3 linked regions of the Neurospora crassa OR74A genome follow. The protein of the gene in region 2 purifies or fractionates together with the protein of the main gene of each other region. This does not show direct contact. Links are inferred from orthologs where the notes say so. Each region holds a gene or a part of one and is shown on either strand. Other genes may lie near its edges.

What was found.
Region 1: the proteins of NCU02546 (region 2) and crp-4 purify together in Saccharomyces cerevisiae (affinity purification with mass spectrometry; 5 studies listed by BioGRID, with this or other methods). This does not show direct contact. The link is inferred for Neurospora crassa OR74A from reciprocal best matches to the Saccharomyces cerevisiae genes NOG2 and RPL5.
Region 3: the proteins of NCU02546 (region 2) and NCU05235 purify together in Saccharomyces cerevisiae (affinity purification with mass spectrometry; 8 studies listed by BioGRID, with this or other methods). This does not show direct contact. The link is inferred for Neurospora crassa OR74A from reciprocal best matches to the Saccharomyces cerevisiae genes NOG2 and RLP24.

The regions. Positions count from the first base shown.
Region 1 is NC_026505.1:5,644,796-5,650,736, reverse strand, and holds crp-4 (60S ribosomal protein L5), read left to right. Parts: upstream 1-2,142; 5' UTR 2,143-2,317; coding exon 2,318-2,320; intron 2,321-2,512; coding exon 2,513-2,550; intron 2,551-2,631; coding exon 2,632-3,496; 3' UTR 3,497-3,727; downstream 3,728-5,941. Other genes in the region: NCU04332 (epoxide hydrolase), read right to left, coding at 654-1,601, 1,703-1,837. UniProt on the Saccharomyces cerevisiae protein: Component of the ribosome, a large ribonucleoprotein complex responsible for the synthesis of proteins in the cell.
Region 2 is NC_026501.1:2,683,770-2,690,345, reverse strand, and holds NCU02546 (nucleolar GTP-binding protein 2), read right to left. Parts: upstream 3,861-6,576; 5' UTR 3,529-3,860; coding exon 3,219-3,528; intron 3,158-3,218; coding exon 2,792-3,157; intron 2,737-2,791; coding exon 2,573-2,736; intron 2,192-2,572; coding exon 1,172-2,191; 3' UTR 713-1,171; downstream 1-712. Other genes in the region: NCU02545 (hypothetical protein), read left to right, coding at 4,224-5,174; NCU02544 (ABC transporter), read right to left, coding at 5,693-6,576. UniProt on the Saccharomyces cerevisiae protein: GTPase that associates with pre-60S ribosomal subunits in the nucleolus and is required for their nuclear export and maturation.
Region 3 is NC_026504.1:5,663,379-5,669,581, forward strand, and holds NCU05235 (ribosome biogenesis protein RLP24), read left to right. Parts: upstream 1-2,076; 5' UTR 2,077-2,226; coding exon 2,227-2,302; intron 2,303-2,386; coding exon 2,387-2,991; 3' UTR 2,992-3,695; downstream 3,696-6,203. Other genes in the region: NCU05234 (GTP-binding protein ryh1), read right to left, coding at 4,352-4,701, 4,894-5,023, 5,161-5,249, 5,334-5,359, 5,456-5,502. UniProt on the Saccharomyces cerevisiae protein: Involved in the biogenesis of the 60S ribosomal subunit. Ensures the docking of NOG1 to pre-60S ribosomal particles. Activates and recruits ATPase AFG2 to cytoplasmic pre-60S ribosomal particles.

The sequences.
Region 1 (5,941 bases), on a different chromosome or scaffold from region 2:
TTGATGGAATGAGGAGGACAGGATCTTGGTCTTGGTCTTGGCTGGGGTGAAGTTGGTGGGCTGAGAGGTGAATGGATGATACCTACTTAGACAACATAAAACAAACTTGAAAAGGAGAGACGGCAGTCTAAAAGATGAGGAATCGAAGAGAATAAATCAAAAGGGGCTATGTGTATGAAACATGAATCTCAAGATGGTGTATGAACTACGTTAGACAAGTAGAAGTTATATATCACTTGACCACTTTGAACTGGTCGTTCTACATCGTTTTGGGCATTTGTGGATGGATCATAGAGGTTGTGGTGATGAGATGCGCGACAAAGGTCGATTAAACTCGTGGGATAAGTAGCAAAAATAGTAAATATACACATGTACCATAGAATTTCATTTTGAAAAGGCGTGATTCCCGAAAATACAAAGTGCCAGGAGGTACCTACCTCTAGTGAAAACGACAGGGCCGTGTCTGGACTGAACCCAGGAGCGTATAGATATTCTCACAACGGTCTGACACGTCCTTCGCAGTGATCATAAATGTAAGCACACCGAACAGTACATTAGTAGTTATCAGGACTTCACACATGAATCATGAAAACAGTCAGATTCTTTTTCATCATCAACTCATACCTAACACCCCATGTCAATCATCAGCATTATCACAACTTCGCCTTCGCCTCCTTCGCAGCACTAAAGTCCGGCTTCACCGCAATCCTCGGGTGATCCCCAGCCAGCTTCAACCCCGTCACGTTCTCCAGCTCATCAACCGCCTCAAACGCCTTTCCCAACCCAACCTTGATAGTCCTAAACCCAGCCTTCCTCGCCGCCTTCAGATTCTCCCCAATGTCATCCAGAAACACAACATCCTCCGGCCTCACCCCTTCTGCCCAACCGCCCCTCTTCCCCCTTTCGGAGTCAGCATTTGCCCTCGCAAACTGATCTACCTTTTCAAGCGCCAACTGATAGATCCTCGGATCCGGCTTTCTTAACCCCACATGCGCCGACGAAATGAAAACATCAAATAGCTGTCGCAACGGATCGCTGAAGAAGTCCCCCTTCTCCGCCCACTTGTGCCCCTCCGGCCAGATCACCGTATTACTCAGTGCCGCGACGACGAACCGTCCGTCTTCCTTGAGTTTTTGGAGGGCGGGAAACATCCAGGGGTCTGGAGCTCGAGCGTGCTCCATCATGTCGTGGAATAGCCACTCGCCGTCGATTTGGGGGATGGGCGGGATCGATAGTAGTTCATCAGAGCCAGAAGAAGAACCAGAAGAAGAAGAAGATGAAGAAGATGAAGAAGATGATGATGATGATGATGATGATGATGATGATGATGATGATGATGATGAGGAGCGGTGATGGTGGTGGTGCTTTTTGGCTTGTTGGTGGTGGTGGTGGTGAGACCGGTAGAAGGATTCCCAGAGGGATTGGTTGTGCAGGTCCCGGTTGAAGCCGGCGAAGAAGGCAGCGTCCATGGGAATGGAACCGGTTTCGAGACGGTGCCAGAAGCCTGAAGGGGCGGAGCGCGAGATGGAGTGGTTGATCCAGCCTGGGGGGATGGAGTGACGGAGTTCGTAGTTGAGGATGGACTGGAAGGGGGAGATGACCTGGGTTTGTGTTAGTTATTTAGTTATGTTGGTGTTGTTTTGTGAGGGGTAGATGTATTTGTGTATATAAGTGAAGTGGTGATGTGGTCATGTTGACTTACACAGACGCCGCCAATGTCAAAGAGGATGACTTTGGGCTTGGGGGACCCGGAGGACCTTTTCCCTTTGAGGATGGTTGGCGCCATGTTGTCGATGGCTTCAAGAATGTATTCAGGGGGAAACTCTTCAGGAAGCATCACACTATAATGTCATGGGACTTTGGGGGTATAAGGATGTTTGGATTCATCTATCAACAACATTGGACCTCCGCACATTGGCACCAGGAAGCGATTAGTGAAGTGAATGGTACACTATACTAGACCTCGGTTCGGGACAGTGATTGCCAGAGGTCGACGGCTACTGAAGCCCGAGACTACTTACAATGCCATTGGCAGAGCCCACAATTGCCTGCCGCTTGCGTGAAATTCTTGGCGCTAGGTCGTCGCCCACCGTGGCGCCACGGCAAAGCATGGGTGAGTGAATCGGTCGTCGCCAACCTGAGTTGACAACCCAGCGGTCAGCCGACCAATCAGGCGCGCTCTTGTTCTTAGGGTTGTGGGGATTGTAGTGCGAAATTCCTGCCCACCAAAGTTTGTTCGCGATCTCGAAATTTCCCTTCTGACAACCCAGCCCGTCTCAAGACCGTTTGTTGAGTGCACCCAGCAAAAGTAGTCAAAATGGTAAGTTGACGACCTACGGCGTGCGTCGCGGCCGTTCAGCAATGAGCGACCAGCGGCTGCGTTCAAATCACACACCATTCCCAGAGGGAAACTTGGGGGAAATTGAGGAGAAAGAGAGTCAACGCAAGATGCTTCGGAGAGGAGGAAATATTCTGAAGCGATAATTGCTGACTCGGGGATTTTGATTGTCAGGCCTTCCACAAGCTTGTCAAGAACAGCGCGTACTACAGGTAAGCAGATGTTCTCTTTTTGAAAATCCGAGAAAAATCGATAGGAGCTCGGGGTTCGCTAACATTCAATCCGCCCAACAGTCGCTTCCAGACCAAGTACAAGCGCAGAAGAGAGGGCAAGACCGACTACTATGCCCGCAAGCGCCTCATCACCCAGGCCAAGAACAAGTACAATGCTCCCAAGTACCGCCTGGTTGTCCGCTTCACCAACCGCGACATCATCCTCCAGATTGTGAGCTCCGAGATCACCGGCGACAAGGTCTTTGCCTCCGCCTACTCCCACGAGCTCAAGGCCTACGGCATTGAGCACGGTCTCACCAACTGGGCTGCTGCCTACGCCACCGGTCTCCTCCTCGCCCGCCGTGTCCTCAAGAAGCTCGGCCTCGACGAGACCTTCAAGGGTGTTGAGGAGGCTGACGGTGAGTACAAGCTCACCGAGGCCGCCGAGACCGACGATGGCGAGCGCCGCCCCTTCAAGGCCTTCCTTGATGTCGGTCTTGCTCGCACCTCCACCGGTGCCCGTGTCTTCGGTGCCATGAAGGGTGCCTCCGACGGCGGTATCTTCATCCCCCACTCCGAGAACCGTTTCCCCGGTTACGACATGGAGTCCGAGGAGCTCGATGCCGAGACCCTCAAGAAGTACATCTTCGGCGGTCACGTCGCTGAGTACATGGAGACCCTCGCCGACGACGATGAGGAGCGCTACAAGTCCCAGTTCAACCGCTACATTGAGGACGATCTTGAGGCTGATGGCCTTGAGGACCTCTACGCCGAGGCCCACGCCGCCATCCGCGAGGACCCCTTCAAGAAGGCCGAGTCCGAGGCTCCCAAGAAGACCAAGGAGGAGTGGAAGGCCGAGTCCCTCAAGTACAAGAAGTCCAAGCTCACCCGCGAGCAGCGCGCTGCTGGTGTCCAGGAGCGCATTGCCGCTCTCCGCTCGGAGTAAATTGGAAGTTGTTATGGACTTTGCTAGGGGTTGAACAACCTTTTGGGAGGAAACAGGTTCTGTTCATTCGATGCGCATGGGTGCGAAATCATCTGGGTCATGGGGATGACATGGTCTCTCAAAAGGGTTCATCTAAAAGCCAATCAACTTTCTTCTGTCTTGAGCAAAAGAGCATTACTCGGCGTTCGTTCATGTGATACCTCAATCGTAATTTGATCTTCCTTTTCCCATTTGAGACTCGACGCTGTCCATCTTTTCTTGTGATTGATTACCTTTCCAAAATCTCCAAAACCGGTGCTGACCGACGGCAAATTCTCGTGAAACACGATTCATGTAAAGTCATCCATACTCTCTCACTTCCACCGCCAAGCAATGTCATTTGCTTGGGGATGAAGATCAACTTTACAAATCTCACGAGTCATTGACCCCTCACGATTCATGGTAGGTTGCTACTGTGCGCTACATGTACACTATAACTCGATACAGGTTTGTTCGTTGTTTGTTAGTCCGAGACCTTCTAGCCAACTTGTCCCGGCCTTTCAACAAACAATTCAAGGTTGATGTGTGTTTTTCTTATCGATGACGGGATTCTCAAGATGAGTAGAGCTAAGGTATGAATTCATATCTAATTGGACAAACTGGACAAATTCTGTTTTTTTGCCTCCCCCTCCCCTTCCCCATTTGTAACTTTTATATATTTTTCTCCGAGTTCCATTGATCGCGCGGCATTCAAGATGGATGGATGGATGGGGTTAGTTTGGCAAGTGTCTTACTCGGGTACTCAGAGGGGGTACTACAAACCGGTATATCGTTCAAAACACACACACAAAACAAAACAAAACAAAACAAAACAAAACAACCCGCGAAATACCGAGACGAGACAAGATGCGGGGGATCAGCGGGTAGCTAGCTTGTATTCCACTAGGGTTTCAGAACTTTTTTTCTTTCTCATGGTGAAAAGCATGCCGGCCCAAACACACACACAATGCCGGATAATGCCGGTTTATGATAGATGGGGGTGGACAGATGGATGGATGAATGGATGGATGGATGAATGGATGGATGGATGAATGGATGAATGGAAATGACAGGACTGACGGACTGACGGACTGACTTGATGCGAGTGGGACTTGGAAGGTTGATTGTTCGTGGTGTGTTAGTTGGTGAAGAGGAAGGATAGGCAGACAAAGGTAATCTCGAGAGGACGGGGAATTCCCTGCCTTCGATGCCTTCAATGCCTGTTGAAGAAATGGTGAAGGTGTGGTGAAGGTGTGTAGTATGGTGAAGGTGACCGACCAGTGATGTGTGACAAAGGTGAACGATCACCTTGCGGGTTGTCTGTCACTGGGTGAACCTTGAAACTTTAAAACGGTCAGCTGGTCATGTGGTGTCGTGTGGTGTGGTTGAGGTTGAGGTTGTGGTTGAGGTTGCCTGTGGTGTAGTGTATGATCTTGATCATCTCGAAATTGAAGACCAGGTAAGTAAGGAGGGGCGTTGATCAATCATGCACATGCTTCTTTACTGCTTCTTCTTCTTCACAGCTTTAACCCTGCTTATTCTACCAGAACTTCAACTTGAGCATACGGTATTCTCACCCGTATTTGGAGAAGGATGAGAAATGTGAAACTTTGAGGGAAGGACGGTAGAAGGTTACACAAGAAAAAGTGTGTAGTTTAACCGCTTGACAAGGTCGGTTTCTTTTGGTTTTCATTTCCCCAAAAATCTCATGAATGATCAAGGATGGTTAGCCGCGCCGCTGCCTGAAATGATGAGATGAGATGAGCCAGTCACTACTCTCTAGAGGTAATCACTAGACAACAATAGTGTTGAAGATCTGATCTGATGACAACCGAATGGTAGTTTATATTCAATTCAGTAGTAGCGTCCTTTACATTATCAGGAATATTCTGGGAGTTCCGTCTGGCTGATAAATCATCTTCTATCTGTCTGTCTCTCAGTCAAGCGCTTACACTTAGTAGTGTAGTTGGAAAGCCAGAGACTAGCTAACTAGCTAGTCACTTAGTTTGCTGGGCAGCGTTTGTGCGAAAATCTTACAAATTTGTAAAGGGCCGCCGGAGTTAGTTATAATGAATGTCTCCAAAACGGTCGTCGTCTATCGGAGTATACCACGAACTTGATCAGTGCGTACATATATGTCTGTGCTTGCTTGGCTGCGGGGGCTGGATTTCATGAAGGTTTATTGTTTCGTGCCTGTATGCTATGGATGGATGGATAGATGGATGGAAAGTGAGTTCTGCTCAATTCGAGATTTGAAAACTCATGCGATGGGTACTATAATGTAGCGTAGCGCAGCGTTAATGATGCGTCATGAGGTCATACACTATACTACTGCCGACGGATTTTGAGTATGTAAACGTTGTAAATGCTAGACTTTTAGTGGCGGGACGAAGCGCATCTCGGTACGATCCCCAAGTCCTAGCGGTA
Region 2 (6,576 bases):
AAGTGCAACAATCAACCGGAGTAGAAGAGCCAATTTCGTCAACGTTTGTACCCTTACTCAGGTCCTGTAAAAGTGGTGATATGGAACTAACTGCCCTTGCCCGCCTGATGTCATGTTGTCAGTGTCAGATTGTCGCACTCGATATAAAGTACCTACACCTTCGATATGTATCTTCACACACAAGCTAGAGAGTCATAAGGGTCTTCTTGACGGTCTAGATCTTTCATGATGATCGCAAGCGATTTCTAGACAGAGTCCAAGGGAACGTCATCACTTGTCATATGTCCATCGTCACAGGCGGGGATAGCGTCGCTGGTACATCGTCCGGCATACGGCAGAATGGTATACTTCAACATTAACCCCGTGAAGATTGGGGGTTGAATGGAGATTGAAAGTGTGGCGTTCTGGATCCTTTGCTATGTACTGTGTGCACTCGTCTGGGCTAGAAGCGCTCCTGCCGGTTGCTTTGTACTTGTGCGTTAGGAAAAACTTTTAATCCGAAAACTGCTGGTCCGACTTCATTCTGATAATGTTAGATTTACCTTGCTCAGTAGCTCATTTAGGATGCTTGAATTGCCATAAATGTCTCGTAAACACCAGGTAGAGAGGTATGATGAAGTCGAGTTGACATGTGAAGAGATGGCCAGGTTTCTTGTGCTACCTAAACCGTTCAGGGTACAAATACAACCACACAATATGCGGGCATGGCAGAGTGAAATGATCTTGATTTGAGCACACGGGTATCGGAACTTGTATATTCTTCTTCGTAACGAGATCGCATGTGGTGATATCCTAGGCGAGAGCATTCAAAACCTCTCCAATAGAGGGATAACTATGAGGAGAGAGGAGCTACTAAGCTTTTTTTAATGCAACAGCCGTTCGCATGTCCTCCCAAACCTAAGAATGCCACGAACATGCATACAGAACTCCAGAAACAAGTACAAATGACAAACGAATATCACAATTTTTCCTTAATCACATAGAAGACGGCAGGTGGGAATGAAAATCGACGGGCAACAAACGCCATACTGAGGTTATGCCCAAGTCCTCAACAGTTTATTATCAGTGACACCGGCCGTCATGATCCGATTGGATCGTTACCAACCCTGAGGTCGGCTATTGAACGCATGCTCGGTTCACCCCAGCCGCCCATCGCGTTCACTGACCGAGTTTACTTCCTGCTCCTCCTTTGCTTCTTCGGGGGAGGTGCTGGCGCAGCCTCGGCTTCTGACTCAGACTCTTCGAGTTCGCTGGCTCCTTCGATGTCGAGGTCGGATCCTTCCTCGTCATCTTCGACGTCAGAGCCCTCCTCCTCGCCATCCTCTTCCTCATCGCTCGACGCGTCCAGGGGTATCATATCTTCAGCAGTGCTCTTCTCCTCACCCTTCTCCTCAGCAGCCTCTTCGACCTCAGAGTCGCTGTCACTGTCGAACCCGGCAAAGTTCTCAGGGTCTTCCTCCTTGGCATCCTCTCCTGCTGAAGCGGGAGTGGTAGCAGGCGCGCTGTCGTCCTCGTCACGTTTCCGCTTCTTGGACATTTCACCGTAGCGTCCTTCGCGACCCTCCATGGTATCAGTCTCACCCTCCTCCTTTTCGGGGGCAGGCGTGAACCAAGGAATCTTGCCTCGCATGAAGTCATTGAGAACCATCTTCGCAACGCCATCAACGTCAGGCTCACCACCCTTGAGAAGTCTGCCGCCCTTCCTAGCAAGCATCTCAAGGAAATGAATATGGTCCTTCCAGCCCTTGAGCTCATATGTCCTCTCCATGTGGTGAGGTTTGACCTTGTTCAATACCGCAGGGATGTATTGCTCCGGGTTATCGACGTTTTCCACACGTACAACACCACGGAGCAGGAGATCCTGTGGCGTATCGTTCTGGTTGGGAGGAACAATGCCAGGGCAGTCGATGAGGTAGATCCTCCTCATCAAGGTGACGTACTGCCAGACCTTGGTCTCTCCGGGAATAGGGGCGACCTTAGCAACGGGCTTCCCACGAAGGGCATTGATGATACTCGACTTGCCGACGTTGGGGTAGCCAACAAGACCGACGCTGATCTGTTTCCTGTCCTTGTGCAGGATACTGAACTGTCTGAGAAGATCGATCAAAGAACCACGACCGAAGGGGTTCTTGATGCTAGATCTCATAGCACATGTAGGATGATCCTTCTGCAGAACGCGAATCCACGCGGCCTATTGTTTTCAGTTAGTCCTCAACTCGTTACTGAATATAACATATATGTATAATGTGAAGAAATGTGTGAATCATAACTAAGAAGACCACCATGGTAGAGTCTGCTCAAAGGCAGGGTGGAATTCAACTCAAACGAAACACGTCCGGTATCCCGTGAAGTCCTCCAAAACGGAGTCCATCAAATCCCCAATCCCAAGACGGGACCAGAGAGGTTGGGAGGTGGATATTAATCTCCCAGCGATGTAACAGACCAATCCCAATGAAGCGCAACTGAATGCGGGAAAGATCCTGACAAAATCCCTGGGAACCTCAGGATTTGCGCGAGGCAAGTCAAGAGATTCAAGCAGAAGGAGTGAAAGCAAATAATGGTCTACACTTACAGCAGTCTTGGAAGGAACAAGATCGATCTTGTTCAGCACGAAAATAAGATGCTTGTGAGGAGCCTCAGTGGCAAGGTATTTCTCAACGTGACGACACCTGGTTCCCAGAGGATCTCTGGCATCGATAACGTGCAGGATGACATCTGACGAATCAATGACCTTGTCTATGTGATGGTTAGCAACCCGAAGTCACAAGTCCCCAAACACAGAAGGACTTACACAGTTCGTTCCAAATACGCTTCGACTGGCCCTTTGTGAAGATAGCCTCCTTGGCCGTCGCGACACTGAAATCCTCCTCTTGAACATCGTCATCGGCAAGACCACCGCCATATCCAGAAGCACCACTTAGAAGCTTGATCTCCTCGAGTCTGGCCTGGTATGTATCCATGCTCTTCTCGCTGTGTTCTGTCAAGTCACCGATCGTGTTGAAGCTGAGTTTTGGCCTCTTCCTTTGGGCCTTGGGGCCAAAGGTCTGTGAAAACGGCTCGCTCTCAATCGTCATCTTGGCTTGGTGCTTCTTCAACGCATCCTTGGGTCCATCTCTGATCAAGCTCATGGGGAGCTTGTTGCTTTTCAACAGCACCGCTACAAGACAAGGTGCGTTAGTCTTGGTCGGCCGGACAAGTGACGGAAGAGTTGAACGTACAGTAAGGATCCTTGTCCTTCTCGGCAATCGCCTCCCGGAAAGATGTCAACGTATCTTGCGAAATGACTCTGGTGTTGTTGAACCATCTCCGGTTCGGCTCGATGACGGCTGTGGGAACATCTCTGCTCTGATACGACGCGGCCTTGACGACCTTGCCCTCCTTGTTGCGAATGGCCTTTCCCTCCTTCAGCACGTTCAAGGCCTTGATCTTCTTTGCGCTCCGGTAGAAGTTCTCGCCCTTGACCTTTGGATCACCCGTCACCTTGCCCTGTCGCTGAATGCGAGACTTTTCCTTCTTTCCTGTTCCCATTTTGGCAGATATCACTCAATGCCAGATTACCGAGTAGGTTGGTGGGTAGAGGATGCAGATGTGGAAGAATTTCGTTCTCGCCTGCGAGAGCGGCTGGGGGTATCCGTAGATCGGGGGGTTTGAGATTGACTTGAAAGAAGAAGCACACGAAAATAGGGAAGAATGGGTAAAAGGCTAGAAACGAGGCTATGGGGTATCAGATATCGGCAGAGGGTGTTGCGTGAGAATCGAGAGGATGAATGGACTGGGGAAGAAGAAAAGAAGAGAGGGAAGCGAGGAAGGAATGAGAAGGAGGAAATGCAACTCTGCGACTGGTCCCGGCGAAAGTTTTGTCAGTTTTTTTTTTGGGCGGGGTGTGGAGGCCGCGCAAAGGTCCCCATGCACAAAAAGTTTAGCGGTGTACGACGGCAGAACGCCCGCGACCAGCAAAGCTAGTAGCACCAAGAGCACTCTAGCGCCGTTCTGGCCTCCCCGAGCTTTCAGAATTTCGACGGAGTTGAAAGCCCCCTCGTACCGCGGCGTGTCCCACGATCCCGAGCCGAACCTACCTACCTAGGAGAGCGAGAGGCCGCTGCACCCGCCTGGTCCGTTCCCTCCGTCGCACGAAACCTCCGCATAGCACGGCCCGGCCAGAAGTCTCCCAACTCCGACCCCATCCCGCTCACCCCGTCTTCAGCCAACCCTCCACCTCAAAAATGGCGCCAACTCTTGCCAGGCCGTCGCTCAGCGGCGTGCAATTTATCCTTTCTTCCCCGACCACAACATGCGCTGCCACCAGCGTAGTAACACGCGCCATCGCCGCCCGATCTTTCAGCACCACCCGATCGGCTAGAGACTCGGTCTCCATCCCCCCCGATTCGCCCAACTACATCAAGGTCCCCGAGCCGCCGCAGTCTTCCGAGGTTAGGCACCCTTTCGTCAAGGGCCACCTCCCGATCCCCCGCTCCATTTTCCCAAAGAAGGGCGTCCCGGAGAAGGTCCAATCCGGCTATGTCAATCGTATCGCTCCCAAGTCCGCCGCCGAGCTGGCTGGTCTGCCGCCCAAGTCGAAACAAGAGTCGTGGCGTCGCAAGATGGCCGAGGCCCGGCGCCAGTCACTCGAGGCCGGTCTGCAGGGACTCTGGCAGCGCAAGGTGAAGCGCGACCAGAAGCAGGCGAAGGAGAGCAAGGCGCGCTACTTGGCGAACAAGCGGGCGGCCCAGGCGCCGGAGCGTCTGGACGAGGTGTTCACGCGCGCGACGATTCGCGAGAGCACGGCCAAGAACACATTCGTACCCCTGGACCCAGAGGCTTTCGTCAAGGCCGAGGAGGCGCGTATTAAACATGCAGAGAAGGAGGCGATGAAGAGCGAGGCGCGCCGGGACGCCGTCGTCCAGCTGTACGTGGCGTCCAAGAACTTCATCGTGGACGAGAAGGAGCTGGAGGAGCACGTCAACAAACACTTCACCGAGAAGATCCACAACGCCGGTCTCTGGGAAAGCGGCCGCAGCATTTGGGATTCGCAGAAGAACCCCATTAGCATGAGGGAGTTGCGAAACGAGTTCAGCGGTTTCAACGACAGAGTTACTGCCACCACTTCAGCCGCCGTAAAGACGACAGTTAGGCAGAAGAACGTGGCCGAGGAGTTGACTGGCGGCAAGTTGTAGTTGGGATGCAAAAACTCTACTATATCTCCTACGTCCTTCTCTGCCCTATCAAAGTTGTACAATTAGTCAAAGGTTTGCTGCGTTGTCGTAATGATTTATACGATTAGTGAATCGAGCAACCTTGTACATTATGGGGGTGTTGTGTACAAATAAAATCAGATCGGCCAAGGACACCCAGCCACCACAACACTCATATTGAACTTACAACGCTGTATTTCATTCCGATACCCTATCTCTCTGAGACGGTCGTTCTCAGAACACGCTTTACTTGTTGCCTAAATAGTACAATGATGCCCATGACCCTATACGCCGGTGTCAACCAATATTTCCAAGAAACCATTTCATCATGTCCATCCTCAAGAAAGCTTCGCGCACAAAGAAAGAAGAAAAAAAAGGGACAGTGAGACATCGATCTAACAGAGTCAACCCGTCATTCACGCTGGTCTAATAACAGTTGCTACATCTTCCAGCTCATATTAACCGGCAACTGTGGTCTAATGTGGTCTTTTAGCGTTTGGTTACCTCTTCTCAACAAGAAGGATATGCATGGCACCATAAGCAAGGATGATGAAGGTCATGCCAAAGAGGCCTAGGTTCATGATATCCCTCCACATTGCTGAGTTGTCGAAACCGAAAGTGGTCAAGATGGTGGCGCCGGGAACCGTGATATCGAGACCGTACTTGTGGTCAACAAGAGTGAGCTGAGTAACCTCGTTGACAATCAGTGCCTCGAAGCCGTAATGGAAGATGGAGAGCCACTGAAGCCAGAGTGCCGCAGCCGGAATGGCGTTGTGGTTGAGCAATAGACCCGCGAAGAGAAGACTGAAGAGCATAACCAAGCTGCCAATCAGGTTGGCTACACCTCCATCCTTACAAAGGATGCCGATGAACAGGCAGATAGCGGCGGCGGCCAGGTTGAAGAGGACCAAGACCAGGATAAAGACGAAAAACCGCTGGTAGTCAGCGACGAGACCAGTCATCGGGTAGATGATTGCGCCAAGCAGGATGGGTGGAATGATCCTCAGGGGAACAATGTCGAACAGGACTTTGGCGGCGAAATAGGTGATAGGTGAATAATAGCCATTCGCTCTCTCGCGTACAAACAGCAGTCTCTCTTGAGAGAACACACCCAAGCTTGTGAGAGTGCTGAAACCGAACAAGGCGAGGACGAAGAAGAAGAGGCCAAGCCTGTTCTGGAAGCCTGCAATGTCCAAGGTCAAGCCGTAAAACAAGTAGCCGGCAAAGACAGCCAAGAGAATTGCAATCGCGTAATGAGTCAACATCAACATCGGGTTTCGGTACAGGTTCTTCCAAGTCCGCTGAGACAGAATAACGAACTGTCGGAACAAGCCCACACGAGCATAGCCTTTGCCCATTGTACCCGTGTAGATGTTACCATCTG
Region 3 (6,203 bases), on a different chromosome or scaffold from region 2:
GTTGGGTTAGTGGGTTGTGTCGAGTGAGGGTAAATGTGGTGTTGAAGGAAGATGAGGCAGTGACGTGTGTGTGGTGGTGAGCAGAGGAGATGCAGTTGATGAAGGAAAGGAAGAGATGACAGTTCTGACAACCGGGTATAAAGTTTTGTCATCCAGCGATGCTGTTCAAAGGAGTGACCACGGAATGGATCACAGACGTACCTCTACTTGTGGTTGAGTGTTCTTTGCTTGATCAGCAGTTGATGCTGTACTCTTCGAGTGTTATAGGTTGCTCTTTACTCGTGTGTCTGGACAAGTCTTTGAAACGAGGATGAGTGTTCTCTCCAGGTGCCACGAGGAGAAGAAGCAGATATATAACGAGTGGGAGAGACGGGAGTCCCCTTTATGTGGCAGAAATGGGAACCACAACATAAAGCAGCAGGTATTGTTACTGCTTGTTAGACTGTCAGGGTCTTGGTGGTAGTTCACCCTCCTTCCCCATGCAGTGTCCTTAACTCGATATCATCTTTTTGAGGGGAGATGCCCAAGCCTTGACCTCCTGTTGTGCCACTTCCCCTCCCCGGTTTGCCTTGCAGCAAGTGGACGGTCTAGACAGGGAGCCACCGCTCACCTCCGCCTTTCTCGCCTGCACCTCCTGCTTTTCTTCCTCTGTTGTGAGTAGTTACTATGTCCAACGGCTTCTCGAGACCTGGAACCGTCTGGCTGAGGCATGGTGTAACCCAGGATTGAGCGGGGTAGGAGTGGCAGGCAATATCCAAAATCCAATCATCTCGAGTGGCTGGACGTCACTTTTGTATCACAGCGGCCCGTCTGTGAGTTCCGTCGTCTGATTCTGTGATGTCTAATGGCACCACGGAGCGAGGAGTGGTCCGGTGCGCGTGTGCTGTGGCTGGGGGAGGAAGCAGTAGGTGTTGGGTTTGTAATTTTGATCCTTTGTACATTTCAGTAGATACCAAGTTTGAGAAGGAAGATTACGGTGAACCGCATGGGATAATTACCGACAAGAAACTGGAAAGAGATAGCGACATCTTGACTTTCCTATACTTAGTGTACGGTTTGTATCAGGAAAGAACGATCTCGGGACCCTTACTGTCGCAGGGCAGGAGCTAGTCTGGTGGAGCCTCAGGGGAACCCGACTCCACTTTTGACGCTTTCCCCGGATTCCGTCCCCGCATCTTTGAGTTAGCGCTGTGGATCTGATGGGGCTCTCGGTCAGCACCCGACCCTCAACTCCGCTGTGAGTGAGATGAAAGGAGCACTGTGATTGGGGAAGGAGTGAGGAAAGTCCATTGCACTTCAAGTTCAATCTGAGAGACGGAGATGCGTTATATCAACCAAGTGTCAAGGAAGACCTCTTTTTGTGTAAAGCCTAAGTAGTCACCTTCAACAGACACTGGCCTACTGCCGACGGAGTTTCCATCACAGAAGGTCTTGATCATTGTGAGAAATGACAGACAATTCAAGATCCGATTTCGCCACAGTCTCCGAGAAGAACTTGACGCCTTCAGTTGTAACTCGAATAGATTCTTCAGACATGGTAAAAATTGCAGTCACGAACACCGATGATACCCGGTGTTGAACATTGTAGAGGGTGTCAGACTTTAATCGTTAGCAGTAACTGATGGGAAAGAAAGAGAGTGGAGCTAGCAATGTTAGGGTCCGCGAGAGTCCTGTTAACAGAAACCAATGCCATCTTGGTGACTGAACATTGTCGCGAAGCGAAAAGATCGTGAGCTCAAGAAGTATTGTTGGATGGATCGGGGAATATACTGATTTGGGAAAAGTAAACATGCCCGTCGACTTGAGCATCATGGCCATCGCTTGTCGAGAGAGCATCGAAAGTAAGCAGCCGCAATTGCCGGCCAACTTACATCGAGGAATCGATCATCGGGAACCATCATTGTCAAATCAAGAGAAAAGAACCGTCTGGGCTGGCGTATATGCACGCTCAACCCTAACCCGAGTCTTGTCGGCTGATAGCACGATAGCGCTAAGATAAGCCAAGCGTCCCCTCCGCCCCACTTTACTTTTCCAACACCGACATCCAGAAATTTTCAGAAGCGGCGCCCTTGACCGTTTCGCTGTTGTTGACTTTGTTGCTTGCTTCCCCCTCTCCTCCCCCCCCTCCCGAACAGACAACGAGCCCATCCTCACCCGGCTCGCTGCTTCTCTCCTCAACCACCACCACCACCACCACCACCACAACCACCCACATAACCCGTCAAGATGCGTGTCGATCCCTGTTTCTTTTGCGGCCGTCCGGCCTGGCCCTCCAAGGGCATTACCTTTATGCGTAACGATGGTATGTTTTTGTCATACTTCAGTTCCCCATCATCAACCTCTCCGTCAAGGCCAATTGCTAACCAGGGTACAACTAATGTTACAGGCAAGTCCTTCCGCTTCTGCCGCTCCAAATGCCACAAGAACTTCAAGATGAAGCGCAACCCCCGCAAGCTCAAGTGGACCAAGGCCTACCGCAAGAACGCCGGCAAGGAGATGGTGGTCGACAGCACCCTGCAGTTCGCCGCCCGCCGCAACGTGCCCGTCCGCTACGACCGCGAGCTCTTCGCCAAGACGGTCAAGGCCATGGAGCGTATCTCGGAGATCCGCCAGCGCCGCGAGCGCATCTTCTACAAGCGCCGCATGGCCGGCAAGCGCGCCCGCGAGGTCGCCGCCGCCCGCAAGCTCGTCGCCGAGAACGAGCACCTCCTCCCCCGCCTGCGCGGTTCCGAGAAGAGGAGGCTGGCCGAGCTCGCCCAGGAGACGGGCCAGGACGTCGAGGAGCTCGAGCGCGAGGAGCTGGCCAAGAAGGCTGCCAGCAAGAAGACCAAGGCGTTTGGCGGCGAGGTCAAGAGGCTCCGTGTCAGGACAGACGGCGGCGTGGAAGAGATCTCGGAGCGCGTCGCTGGTGGAGGCTTGGTCGATGAGGATGACGATGACGAGAACGATTTCGAGGACGTGGACGATGACGACGAGATGGATACCGACTGAGCGCCCGAGTCTCTGTAACTATTACTACCGCGACCACCACCACCGCCAACCACCACCACCACCATCACCAACACCGAAACCAGCCACCTCTTTTCTCGGGATCATTCGTTGTTTGCTTGTTTTCTTCGGACGAACTCGCTCCCGCGGCTGTCGATATCCCTATGCGGGGGAGGGTTCTGCTGTATTTTTTCGGCGGCCTTTCCTCGCCACTGAGACCTGCCTAGTTGACACCAGCAACAAAGCCCAACTACGACGAACGGGTCTTGGTGTATAAAGACGGAACGACCAGAAAGAGGACAGGACAGACAGCAATTGGTTGACCAACAGCCAATACTCTAACTGTAAAAACAGTAACTGTGGCTTTGGACAGACAGACAATCCTCCCCCCCGAGCGATGGCTGCTTTCGGGGCTTGCTTATACCCCTTGCTTGGTTGGTTGGTCGTTGGTCGCTACAGGTCATTGGAAAGATTCATTATATTCAGAACCATGGTTTTCAAGGGGGGGATCAATCAGTCTACCTTTAGTAGCAAAGCATATTTTCGGTTTTATTGGAATCGGCGAATTTGGCGTTTAATAGACACGGGGAGACCCACAATATGAAGTACTTGTTTGTTTTTTTCTTTCTGCCATGTCTTGTCTTGTTTTATAGTAGTAATCCTCAGTACTTTCTGACTCGACAAGTTACTCGTTTCTGTCTTCTGCCAACGTGACTGACCTCTGTAGCTCGAGACCTGACTAGGTATCCTAGCCAAGGATATATCCAAGGTCAATCTTGGACTACTACCCGTTCGTTGATTCCATCTTGCACTCAGTCGACAACACAACAACTCTAAACAACACCTAAAAGACACAGTTGGTTCAAGTCGGTAACTAAATACAAAGTATTATATCTTTTATCATTTGTATTATTATAAGCGTTAAGACCCGACAAAACCAAACCAACCCCTTCCTTCGCATGCTAATGCTCCGATCGCCTTGCTTTAGCCAGCCAGCCAAACCGTAAGCACAAAGCACAGCCAAGTTTCTCATTATAGTTTGCTTCCCCATTTGTCAGGTTGTCTAGCCCACCCACCTCTATTTCCCTCCCCCCACCCCCCATCATCATCATCATCAAGTTCCATCTCATTCTCTCATCATATATTTACCCCATTATATCGTTAACCTCGTTAACATCGTCAACATGATCATCATCCCCATTGCTGTCTTCATCCCCAGCCGTCACGGTTTCCCAACCAGCACGCCCTTTCCCTAGGGAAGAGGAATTCAGCTTGTCCTGCCCTGATCAGACCAGAGCAGACCAGACGAGAGCAGACCAAACCGCACCAGGCCGCCAGACCAGTCAGACCAGTCCAGTCAGTCTTAACAAGCGCACCCTTCCTGCGCCACCGTCTCCTTACTGCTGACATCGATCCTTGTCGCCGCCGCCCCCGTGCCCGCACCACCGGCACCTTCCCCACCGGTGCCCTCCATCCCGGGCAAGGCCTGGGCTATCCTCTTGAACAGCGTCTTGACGTTGTGGCCCAGCTTTGCCGACGTCTCGACAAACATGAGGTTGTTGCGCCGGGCCTCCTCCTCGCCCTGCGCCGTGGTCACTTCGCGCTTGTCGTTCAGATCCGTCTTGTTGCCCACCAAGACAATGATCACGTCGTTGCCGCGCTCGGCGCGCACGTCGTCGATCCATTTTCGTGTGTTTTGGAAGGATTTGGCGTCTGGTGTTGGTTATGAATGTTAGTGTCCTGTTTCTTTGGGGGAGGTTTTGAAATTGGTGGCTTGAGGGGAGGAGGGGGGGGGGGGGGGGAAATAGCGGGGGTGGAAGGCGGTGAGGGGGGGGATTTGGGGAGAGAGAGGATGGTCAAGAAAGGCGGAAGAGAAAAGAAAAGAAATATCATAACATAACATACTCGAAATGTCATAAACTACCACGGCTACTGACGAGTCGCGGATGTACGAAGGGATCAAAGAGCGGAAACGCTCCTGGCCGGCTGTGTCCCAGAGCTGTAGGCGGACTGTTCGGTCTTCGAGGTACATGGTCTTTTTCCCCCCCGTAAAGTTAGCCAAAGGCTCTCATCTTGTTCTACTAGTTCTTGGGTCTTTGCAACTGTCGCGCATTGTCTGTCTGGGAAGGAAGGGCGGTAAAGAATTGAATGGGAGACGGGGGTCGAACATGCCTTGGAAAGGAAATCGATACCAATGGTGGCTTGGTACATGTTATCGAACGAGTCGTACATGAAGCGTGTGATGAGCGACGTCTTGCCGACTGTTTGCGCGCAATCGTTGAGTTAGCATTGGTGTCTCGGAGAACATCGTGGAGAAAGTGTTGTAGGTTGAGGTAATCGCATACCGCTTTGTTCGCCCAAGAAGACCAACCTGGCGAGGAGAAAGAGTGGTTAGCATCTTGTCTTGTTTTGTCTTCCATTTGACTTAAGTGCATTGTCTGCAAAAGTGTCGGGTATGTTGTCTTACTTGAATTTCTTCAAGGGGTTGTTGTATGACCCGCCTGCTTGCGCCATTGTGATGGATGTGTTTGCGGATTAACGGTATTTGGCGGGGTAGGTAGGTAGGTAGGTAGGTAGGTAGCTGAAGGTATTCGGAAACACGATCAAGGGGAGGAAGCTTTCGGACTTTGGAGGAGGTGGTGGTGGTTAAGTGGCAGAAAGCTTAGTAGTGTAGGCGGTCGGAGTTGGTCTAGAGTTAGATAGGTGTCTGCTGGTCGTCGAAGTGGAAGATGGACGGCGGCGGAGAGTTGCCGGAGACTGATCATGCAGCGTTGAGTGGTCTCAGTGGTGCGACGGACGGGGCGTGGTGGCCGGGGGGTGGATGACAAGGGAGCTTGGAGGACAATCGGGTCGGTGTTTGGGATCCAGTCGGGGTCTCGTTGCCGACTTGGTTGCTGGGGTCTTTGCAGTCCGTCGAGTCTTCGTTTACCAAACAAAAATCGGGTCGAGAGATCGTTTTATAAGAGTTGATACCACAGAGAGCAGAAAATACTTGAACATTTAATATTTTGTTTGGATACAGATTAATTGATTGACCGACATTCCGTATGTACGTATGTACAAGTTTACATGTTTTTATCCATTGTTTATGCATAACCTCAAGTTCGAACAACAAAGTGTTTCTTGCGACTATTATTCAGTCTTCTTCCCCGAAGCGGACTCATGCGAGAGAAAGGGGACCGCGCCAAGCGATCAGTGGAGGGAAACAGTGGCCG